Linked DNA regions of Caenorhabditis elegans. The protein of the gene in region 1 interacts with the protein of each later gene in a biochemical or structural test. Each region holds a gene or a part of one and is shown in the gene's direction. Other genes may lie near its edges.

Region 1 (5,069 bases):
ATTTAGAAAAGAAGTGTCTTTTCTTTTCCGACACATCCAATACGAACAGATATTATATAACGAGGTCCCCCTAGTCATATTACATGCAAGACTAATCGATAGGAAATAGTGTAGCAAGTAGCTGGTACTATTCATGGATCTATTTTTCATCACCATTATATAATCGTAATACATACATACATGCATATATACATGATCACGAATCTTAGTTGACATTAAATTATCACGACTTATTTAGAAATACTGTCTATGATAAATAGTTTTAACAAGTATTCTCCTACAAAATCATTAAATATAACCCTAAATTCAAAATAAACCACTACTATTATACCTCTTCCACATAATCCACTGATATTATCAAACAAGTTGCCCTCTTGACAATAAACTCTCGAACGCCAACTGTTTCGAATGTTTTGTCGTCGGCTGGATGCCACAATTGCTTCTTTTCGGGGATAAGAAGAAGAGCATATACACACAAGTAGTATTGGATTCTAATGTCAGGATTTCAAAAACTGAGACTCTGATCATTGACCGACTTTTGGGAATCTGAGATAAAAAAAAAGAACAATAACAAAAAAAAGTTTAAGGGAAGTAAATGCGTTTCTATGGATAGTGGGTAGGGCTGTACAAATCGGCGTCCGGTCGTCCGATTTTGACACCACCGGACGCACATGCGTCCGGTTGGGGGTAGCTATCCACGACGGCCGACAACTTCCGAGTTTCGCCACTCACTATACTTAATCAGCAATTTTATAGTGAGTGGCGAAATTCGGAAATTGTCGGCCGTCGTGGATAGCTACCCCCAACCGGACGCATGTGCGTCCGGTTCGAACTTCGGACGACCGGACGTCCGGTTGTACAGCCCTAATAGTGGGTAAAGAGAAATGGAAAAATATGGGAATGTATGAAAATTGGAAAGATGAAATGTGGTACTTCTTATTGTAAAATTAGACACTAATCAAATTCCGGAGAACAAAGCTATGTAACATGGCACTGTAAAAACTGAGCTTGTCATATTTTTTAAAATTCAGTTTTGATTGTTCAGTTTTCTTTAAAAATTCATTCATGAATAGTTACAGTAATAGGATATCTTATATCACGTGTGCATTAGTGTTGCAACCCTTTCCATAAAGTTTCAAGGTTCTTAAAAAAAGGTTCAACTGGAAAAAAACCATACTTGTAGCATACTCTTTCGTAGTGTAATATTACTAGGGAAGCCCAGATTTATGATATCTGTTCATATTGGATGTATGGTGAAAGGCAATATGATTTCGTTATGTTAGGCTTGAAGGCTTGTTAATAGGCTTTAAAAAAGGCTACCAGTAATGTTAATGTTAAGGTTGAAGCCTTGTTAGGCCTCGAAAATGAGACACTTATTTTTTAATTTTAACTCCATTAATGTTCAAATTTAAGGATGTCCTTAAAAATGTAACTAATTTTAATGACACCATTACTTTAATAATTTATTAAAGTTTTAGTCAATCTTGAGTTAAATTTTCGAAAATTTTGCAGCAATTTGATTTTACATCACTTATGGTTATTATTACTAACAGTCTAGATATATAAGAAATATCGTTACTATTTGTACGATAACGTAATTAACAATCAAATTGATAATCGTTTCAATTTTTTAATGTAAAGAGGCTCAGAACGGCTTTTGCCACGTCATCAAGCGACCACGCGAATATCGGTCCTGGAACACCATACCACCTTACTAATTATGTGGTTTTTTTTTAAAGTTTTGTTCCTTTTTCCATTCCACGAGAAACCCTTCTTCTCCCCAATCATCATCTTTTCCATCTGCCATCGGCTCTTGCTCTTCTCCCCACAATTCCCGTTGCTCCGTGTGTGCTGTAATATGCTCCAGGGGGGTGGGTGGGCAGGGATCCCATAGGCATAGGTCTCCACGAAATCAATACTATCTAATCATCTGCCACACCCCCGTCTGATGTTGTGGAGGAAGTGAGAAGAGAGAAGAAGAAGAAGAAGAAGCGGGGGCTCGTGTGGGAGGAGTCTCGTGAAGACGGGAACCTGAAGCTAACGGGAGAAGAAGAATCATTCTCCCCTCCAATTTGAATCGTCGATACTCCGTGTGTTTCAACACAACAACAAACTACCAAAAATGGACGCCATTAAGAAGAAGATGCAGGCCATGAAGATCGAGAAGGTTTCCACACTTTTTTTAAATTTTAATACTGTTTTATAGTGAATTTCTTCAACTTTTTCAATTTTAAAATTAGTAGTGGTCATATACATTCCAATATTTTGAATTTTTCCTCAAAACCATATACACATATTCTAGGACAACGCTCTCGATCGTGCCGATGCCGCTGAAGAGAAAGTCCGTCAGATCACCGAGAAGCTCGAAAGAGTCGAGGAAGAGCTCAGAGACACCCAGAAGAAGATGACTCAGACCGGAGACGATTTGGACAAGGCTCAGGTATGGGTTTAAGCCAGAATTTAGGCTCTTTGCGTATATTTTATCGATTTTAAGACCCCATATAAACTGGCTTCCTAAATTTTCGCTTAGATCTTGGTTTGATAAGACTTTAAGCTATCAGATTTTTACCAGGAAGCTTAAAAATTCATGAAAATCGCAGGAGTTTCTAGAAGTTCCAAAATATTGTCTAGCTTCTACTTTGATACCATATATAATTAGCGTATTATTAATACCTACTTTCTCAACTTAAAGCCGCTATCCCGGAAGATTTTGGCCTGAAACTGAGCAAAGTTCTGAAAAGCAGAAGTTGAGCTCTAAATTTCCTAATTTTTTGGAATCAAGCTTTTACAATACCTTATATATAGCGAATTTTGATTACAGTCCGATTTCAGAAAACAAAATTTTTTAGAGACACTGGCGCTCAAGTAACCTATAAAATCTTAAAGTATAACTAAAAATCACCCTAAAAACAAAATTCGAAATTCATAGTGCAGGGTGCTCAATTTGTAACTTTTAGCCCTAAAAATTTAACCTGGAATCTAAAATTTACCTAGGACACCACTAGAAATCAAATTCGAAGCTCATGGTGCATCGTCCACCTAGGTCTACCTGTCTCCCTGGGCTTATGCTCCTAAGCTGAAACACTTAGGCTTAAGCTAAGCTAAAAGAATAAGCTCAAAATCAAACTTCCATTTTTCAGGAGGACCTCTCCGCCGCCACCTCCAAGCTCGAGGAGAAGGAGAAGACCGTTCAAGAGGTGAGTCGACTTTCTTTTTAAAGCCCAATCCGGGCAGCTTTTGGTTTCTAAACCGACTTCAGGTATTTCCAATTCCCAATCCACAAGCACAACGACCAGGTTTGTGGCGCGATGTTCAAAGTCAATTAATCCGTTAATTAGTCAGTGAGTAGTTGGAATGAAGAGAGAGAGATACATACATATATACAGCTAGTTTTCCATTCCTGTCCTTTTGGGCATGAAAATGAGTGAGAGAGGGTGACGTTGATGATGATCCGCGGTTTTTTTCTCTTTTCCACCCTCTTTCTCTCACTTCCCATAGGCTTCTTCCCCCACCGGGGTAGCTATTGTTTTGTGTGTGTGTGTGTGTCTTCTTTTTTCAATAATGTTCATATATATATATATATATTGTTTCTTCAAATGTTTGGTATACATTGTACTGTATTCAATCATGATTCACTTTTTTCATTCCGTCGAGAGTCAGAGATAGGGTACTGTAGAAATCCTTCTTTCCCGAAAAAGACTTGATCAGGGTGTGGCTGTTATCTAGTTAGCATGTTATATAACATTATGTAATGATGTTCAAACCAGATTGGCATCACTTTTAGCTCGGTTTTCCAGATTTCCCAATTTTGTAAGTTGTCATTATACTGTTTTATTGAAAACTGATTGTGAGCAAAAAGTGTTGTCAATTTATGTAATTCCCTTTAGTCATTGCTATACGTTCTTGAAAAAATTTTGTTGGCTTAAAACATTCTTAAGCTCCGGCCTTAGCCAAATTTTGCAAGGCTACTTTTCAATATTTCGGAAAATTCTAAGTGGTGCCATGTGATATTTAATTTTCTAGCTTAACAAGCTATTAGTTTTCAAGTACTGATCCTAAAAATTTAAAGCTTAGAGCAGTGGCATTTTTTTTGGAATTTCACTAGTCTGGCGGTAACTTTAAGCGAATGTGATCTATTAACACGTGGTGCCAGGTTGTCTCATTGAAGTTTGATCTACAAAAAATGTGGGAATTTTTAGTCAGCACATTCTTAGCCATGCGAAATCAGTTAAGAACTGTGCGTCTCTTCTCCCGCATTTATGTAGATCAAACCGAAGTGAGCCACTCTGACACCACGTGTAATATAATAATCCAGCAGAATTCAAATTCCTCGTGGTGATTTTTCATGCATTACTTTTCATAGTCTTCGAAAAAAATGCTCAATATTTCCAACTTCGGAGTATTTCAAGTGTATGTTAAGCCTATTTTGAATCCCACGCATCACCGAATTTATCTAGATTCCTAGAATATCTACAGTGCATTTTTTTCCACTTCTCCAACTTTAAAGGAGGGCGCATTTATACGAAATGGTCCCGCCACGCGGCCCAAAAATCAATGCGTGGCGGGACCATTTCGTGTAAGTGCGCCCTCCTTTAAAGCGGTAGAAGTGGAAAAATATCAGTGATTTTTAGGAAAAAAACCTTTTTTTGTCGAGAACTTTTTTCCCTCTCCCGACGTTTTTTTTGCACACAACTTGGCGCGCCGAAATCCAATTTCTTTGCGAAAAGCTCAATCCCATTTTCCGTTACTGCTCAAATGAGCGAGAGGCGAAGAAGAAGAAGAAGATAAAGTTCGAGGAGTGTATGAAGTGCTGTTGGGGGCTTCCTTCCCCTGCCTGCGCCATTGTCTAATCTCTAAGTCTCTCTAGCTTCTCTCTCTCTCTCAATTTCTTCTCTTCCAACTGATTACAACGAGATGTTTGCTTTACAACAACTCCTCCCCGCCAATAGGCTCCCGAGGGCTCACTGAGCATCAACGGGCGGCGCGGCGGGAAAGAGAGAGAGAGAGCATCTCCCCCGCAATTTCAAGAAACGAGGAGAGCTGTGTGATCGGCTTCTCGGCATTTTTCA
Region 2 (5,340 bases), on another chromosome or scaffold:
GGTTACAAGTTATTTTTTGCAAACGATGACTTTATTGTGGGTCCAAAAGAGTATTTCACAATTTTCCGATGTTATCGTATCCCGGTAATACGATGAATATGACTTATAGGTTCACTTGAAAATGCAACATTTCACCCCTCCTTTTTAACAAAAAAGATTGTCTCTAAAGAAACCCGCATGATGATGAGTACTTTGTTCCACCCCCACCTTCATAAAGCTCTTCTCTCCCATCATAGTAGCATATAGACGCAGAGAAAATAGCCGGATTTCTGTAGCTTTAAAATGGGAAAAGAGAGAGATAGTAATCAAACAAGCTCGCGCACAAAATGACAACTCTTGAGAAGTTTTCCCTTTCTCTCTTTCTATCCCCCAAACCCTATGATTATATCAGACAAAACGTGGGCTATCTTGCGCTACGAGATAGAGGCAAAAGTGCGTGGTAGGCAGAAGGCAGGTGGAGCCATTTGAAAAATGAAAAATATGTTACCGTGGGAACATATACCAACAATTACGGTTTCATCAAGGCGATATAAGTGTTTAAATCTTTCAGCGAAACTTCATTAAAACTTTCCGGACAATCATCTGCTACCCAGTTTTGAATTTTCTTATTAAAATACGGTGCCCAGTCTTACTGAAGTTCCCAAATTATGGAATTTTTTACAAGTCAAGGTTTAAAAATCGAAGAAAAATTGGCAACGACAGGGGTGGGGTCTATAGTACTATTTAAACGCGCAAATTTTTTGAATTCAACAAAATTTGCAATTGTATTTATTAAACATAATCGTATATTTTTTTGATTACTGTGAACAGTGAGAACTGCAAAAAAAATGTATTTGAAACCTTTGGACAACTTATCATATTTTTTACGGAAACTTGTACCTTCAAGTCGTGTTGTAACAAAAAATATTTTTGAGCCTCAAATCATATTTGATTTCAAACTAGTTTCTAATAGTAAGATAAAACTTGTTAGAGAAACTGAATTTATTTTCCGGTATTTTTTTTATTTTCATCATAATTTTAAATCTCCTACAGCAGTTAATGACTTATTGAAGCATTAATTAAAACGAGTACCAAAATTGATTGCCTTCAATTAAAAAAGTAGCAATCTGAAAGCTACAAAGCTCACATGTGAAGCTTTCTATGTTGTCAAAAATTCAGCAGCTGATTGGCGGTAGGCACAGTCATAAGGCAGGCAGGCAGATATTTTTCTGCCTACGTGGAATCAACTGAACATACATTTTACTGGTATAAAAATAACAGGCGATTTCCAATCATGATTCACAGTTCCCATTTTAAGCTTGTTGTTGTCCTGATAGAATTTAAATAATTTACTGTTTCTTCGATAAAATAATAGGAAATTTTTTAAAGCAAGTTAATTTATCATAGTAACGAAGTTATCATTTTGAAATGCTAAAAATTTAGTTTCTTTCAGTAGAAATATTGTCTTGATACTTTTTTTGGTCTGAAAATTTACTTTTCAGTGTCAGGCTTTTTCAGCAAAAACTAGAAGTTTTTCTAGGAACCTTGGAAATTCAAATTTTTTACTATTAGTTTTCAGTTTTAAACAAGCTTATGATTATTATACCCATAAGAAAATAATCATTTGCCTTTAAAAATGTTTCAGTTCTCATAAAATTATCTACTTCTATTCAAGAACCAAAGCAGCAACCATTTTTAATATAATTTTTTCTCACTTCAACTCCAATCCCTTCCATTTTTTTTTCCAACAATTCCCTTGACTGCAACAGACTGAGGATATTCTCAAGCACCCGCTTCTTCCCGTGATGCTCTAAATCTCTCAATAATCCATACTATTTCCATGTTACTGTAACTGAAGAGGAGGTGGTGGGAGGCGCCGGGATCCCCCTTTCGCAAATATCTTCCTCTCGTCTCTTCATTTTCCGTGCTATTTCGAAAACACACTTACCAGGCAATCGGGAAAAGCCGAGCCAATTCAGTTTCTCCGAGCAAATTTCTTGGCATTTTCGCCGTGTCCCCCACACTTTTTCGTTATCTTTTCTTTGTCTCAACCCAACTTTTACCGTTTCACAGCAATCAATGATTCATCTCGTAGATCTTGTTCTGATTGGGATCTTCTTTAAATTACGTATTAAATTATTTCAGGTGATAACCAATAACCATGAGTGACGTTGACGCTGATGAGGTGAGTCGTGGTTTTATTTCATTGCAAAGATAAAAATTGATTTGAATTTGTAAAACACATGAAACAGTAATTTTGTAAACTTTTTGGTAAACCAAAAAAAGTTTCCAGCCTTATCCCCCACATATGGATGCAGAAGTAAGTCTAGACAGTTGAAAATTTTAAGTACAGATTTGGTTTTTTTGTTGGAAATGGTTTTTATTGAGTTATTTTATATTTTTTCTTGAAATCTGAAAGAAAATTTGAGATAGTTTTTACTTGTAAAAATGAAAATATTTCCAGTGTTTTTGGGATAAACCCTTCAATAAACATGAAACTGTTTTAATTCATAAATTAACAACAATCTGAAACTGTAACAGTTTTTGAAATAGAAATGAATTAGTGGGAAACAATGCATTCGTTTACTATAATGTGACTGTAATTTGTGGGCTCGTTGAAACAATATATATATATATATATATATATTTATTCGACTAGTTTGAAAATTGTGAGCTTTGGTATAAAAAATTAGTAAAATTTAAAAAAAACGTGTTTGTGAACAAGCAAGATCTTACTAAGACCTTACTTACTAAGACGAAGCGATTGCTTTGGCGCGACTGTATATGTTCATATTATTTATATAAAAACATAGTGTTTATAGTTAGAAACATTTTTGGTTATAGTTTTTTTGAAACAGTAACTTTAAAATAAATAAAAAATTGTTCACCTTTTTGATGTATAGTGATTGTAAATGATTCATATACTTGTTGAAACTGTTTATAATGTCTTTTACTTAGTTGAAAAGCGAATTACATAAAAGCTGCCGTTACAAGACCCCATAAAGATTTTAAATACTCAGTAAGTATATTTTTAATATTAAGGATTTTTTGTTCTGCAAAATATTTTTGGTTCACCCTTGTCATGTTTCGTCTTCAGTTCAAATATTGAGTTACCGTAACCGCCATATTCCCATTTCCGTACCTCAAATTCACATTTCTAGGCGCGCAAAATGGCGGAGCGCGAGCGCAAGAAGGAAGAGGTGCGTAAGCGTCTCGAGGAGGCCTCAAGAATGAAGAAAGCCAAGAAAGGATTCTTGACACCTGAGAGAAAGAAGAAGCTTCGTAAGCTTTTGATGATGAAGGCCGCCGAAGATTTGAAGCAACAACAAATGTTGAAAGAGCAAGAGAGACAACGTATTCTTCAAGAAAGAATCATTCCACTTCCAGATTTGGATAACGAAGGTAAGTGTTCTGAAGATGAAAACAACTATTTTATGCTACTTTTGGATATCAGTAAAATGCAATTATGTATGAAAATATAGAACAAAACACTTAATTTAGTAATTAAAGAACATTTTGCTAGGATGTCAATACCTCTCCAAAATACGTTTGGTTAAATAGAAAATACGAAACAGTAAAATTTTTAAATAAAAACTTGAATTTTTTAAATCTAATAGACTACTTTAAAAAGTGTTAAAACTCTGTAAAAACTTCATAATTCCGGGCGGTTACCTACATGAGTTTTATCTTTATTAAATTTTCCAGATGACCTCGAGGCAGTCTACGATGAAATCCGCGAGAGACTCATCGATCTTGAGTCTGAAAACTATGACGTCAGCTACATCGTTCGTCAAAAGGATTTCGAGATCAACGAGTTGACCATTGCTGTCAACGATCTTCGCGGAAAATTGTTCGTTTTTTATATTTTTTGAGTTTTTGGGGGTATTCATTTTAACCACATAATTATTGGATGGCACTGAGAAAATACTTTTCGCCATTTTTGATATTACTATCTTGAAACGGGAAATTTTTTCAAATGGAAATAGGAAAATTAATTACGAAAATGACACCAAATCAAAAAATATTGATATTGTAGAAAATTTTGAGAACTGTTAGCTTCACCAATTTCGGGTCCTGACACGAACGCAAACTTTTCAGCTACAGTACACGGGAGTATACAGTTCATTTTTAGCTTCATAGAGCGAATGTTCATATGATACCCAGATGCGAAAATTTACAATTTTTAACGCAAAATACATATCAATCCCGGTCTCGACAGGACCGAATGTTGAAACGGCAAAAAATTAAAGTTTCATCCAAAAAATAAAAATTTAAAATTTCCAGCGTGAAGCCAACCCTGAAGAAGGTGTCCAAGACCGAGGGAAAATTCGACAAGCTTAAGAAGAAGGAAGCCACCAAAGTCGATTTCCGTGCTCAACTCAAGGTTGTCGACAAGAACGAATTCGCACTCGATGAGGAAGACACTGAGAAGAAGGAGAAAGCCGCGTGGGCTAAGTAATTTCCAATAAAATCATTGAAAATTTCGGATAACTGGCACCCCCTGGAAACGTCTCGTCAAATTCAACTCGATCAATCCCTTCCCATCCTAAAAAATTCTCCTTCTTTATAAAAATTTCACCTTCGCATATCCATCGCCCTATCCATTTGCTTTCTTGTTCCTGTATTTTTTGTCTAAAAATTGTGCTCTGAAACAACAAGAATAAATCAAAAAACAATATATTATACAAAAAAATCGGGATGAATAGTTCATAAAAATTGATTGATGTAGATCTAGAGATTGAACCGTGGTTTTTTTCTTGAAATTTTAACAGGGAAATGGCATGTGTGGGGATTTTACAATAATTATTAGAAAATACATTTTTAAATTAAAACTCCATATCGGGAACTTCAATAGCTTGATCTTCTCTCATTCGTTCTTGTTCCAGCCTGATCAACTCTTGCCATTGTCGCTTCATTTCCAGATACTTTTTCAACGAAAAAACTTGAATCGTCTCGAAAAATCTTCGAACCTGGCCTCCTGGAATGTACTTGGCAAGTTTTCGGCACATTTTCTTCCTCTTCCTCCGCCGATTCTTCTTCTTCTTGACAAGTTCTGGTTTCTCAATACCTTCCTCCTTTTTTGTTGGCGGTTTTTTCTTCTTCGGTTTTTCTTTTTTCGACTTTTTCTTCCTCTTGTTTCGTGATCGCTCAATATTGATGTGGTATGGAATTGGATTTTGTAGACTTTCGGAAGTCGAAGGGGCTTCGTCTTCAGGTGAAGTTGGAGGAGGAGCACGACCAGTTGAGCATGATGGGATAGAAGTCGACGGGGAGAATGCAGATTCCTGGAAATAGTTAGTTTAAGAATTATTTTCCCTTTTAATTAATGTATTTTTTAATTGTGGAGTAGCGTCGGTGGTT

The links.
Region 2: the proteins of lev-11 (region 1) and tni-4 interact in far-western blotting, tested with the Caenorhabditis elegans proteins (one study listed by BioGRID).

Annotation. Positions count from the first base shown.
Region 1 is NC_003279.8:14,628,013-14,633,081, reverse strand, and holds the start of lev-11 (Tropomyosin isoforms a/b/d/f), read left to right. Parts: upstream 1-1,987; 5' UTR 1,988-2,122; coding exon 2,123-2,167; intron 2,168-2,302; coding exon 2,303-2,440; intron 2,441-3,140; coding exon 3,141-3,197; intron 3,198-5,069. UniProt on the Caenorhabditis elegans protein: Tropomyosin, in association with the troponin complex, plays a central role in the calcium dependent regulation of muscle contraction. Involved in muscle actin filament organization and muscle arm extension and morphology.
Region 2 is NC_003282.8:5,202,467-5,207,806, forward strand, and holds tni-4 (Troponin I 4), read left to right. Parts: upstream 1-2,124; 5' UTR 2,125-2,140; coding exon 2,141-2,164; exon of another isoform or gene 2,165-2,185; intron 2,186-2,448; exon of another isoform or gene 2,449-2,469; intron 2,470-2,536; exon of another isoform or gene 2,537-2,557; intron 2,558-3,107; exon of another isoform or gene 3,108-3,128; intron 3,129-3,140; coding exon 3,141-3,381; intron 3,382-3,488; exon of another isoform or gene 3,489-3,510; intron 3,511-3,684; coding exon 3,685-3,829; intron 3,830-3,874; exon of another isoform or gene 3,875-3,895; intron 3,896-4,263; coding exon 4,264-4,438; 3' UTR 4,439-4,658; downstream 4,659-5,340. Other genes in the region: Y59E9AL.36 (RRM domain-containing protein), read right to left, coding at 4,806-5,264. UniProt on the Caenorhabditis elegans protein: Troponin I is the inhibitory subunit of troponin, the thin filament regulatory complex which confers calcium-sensitivity to muscle actomyosin ATPase activity.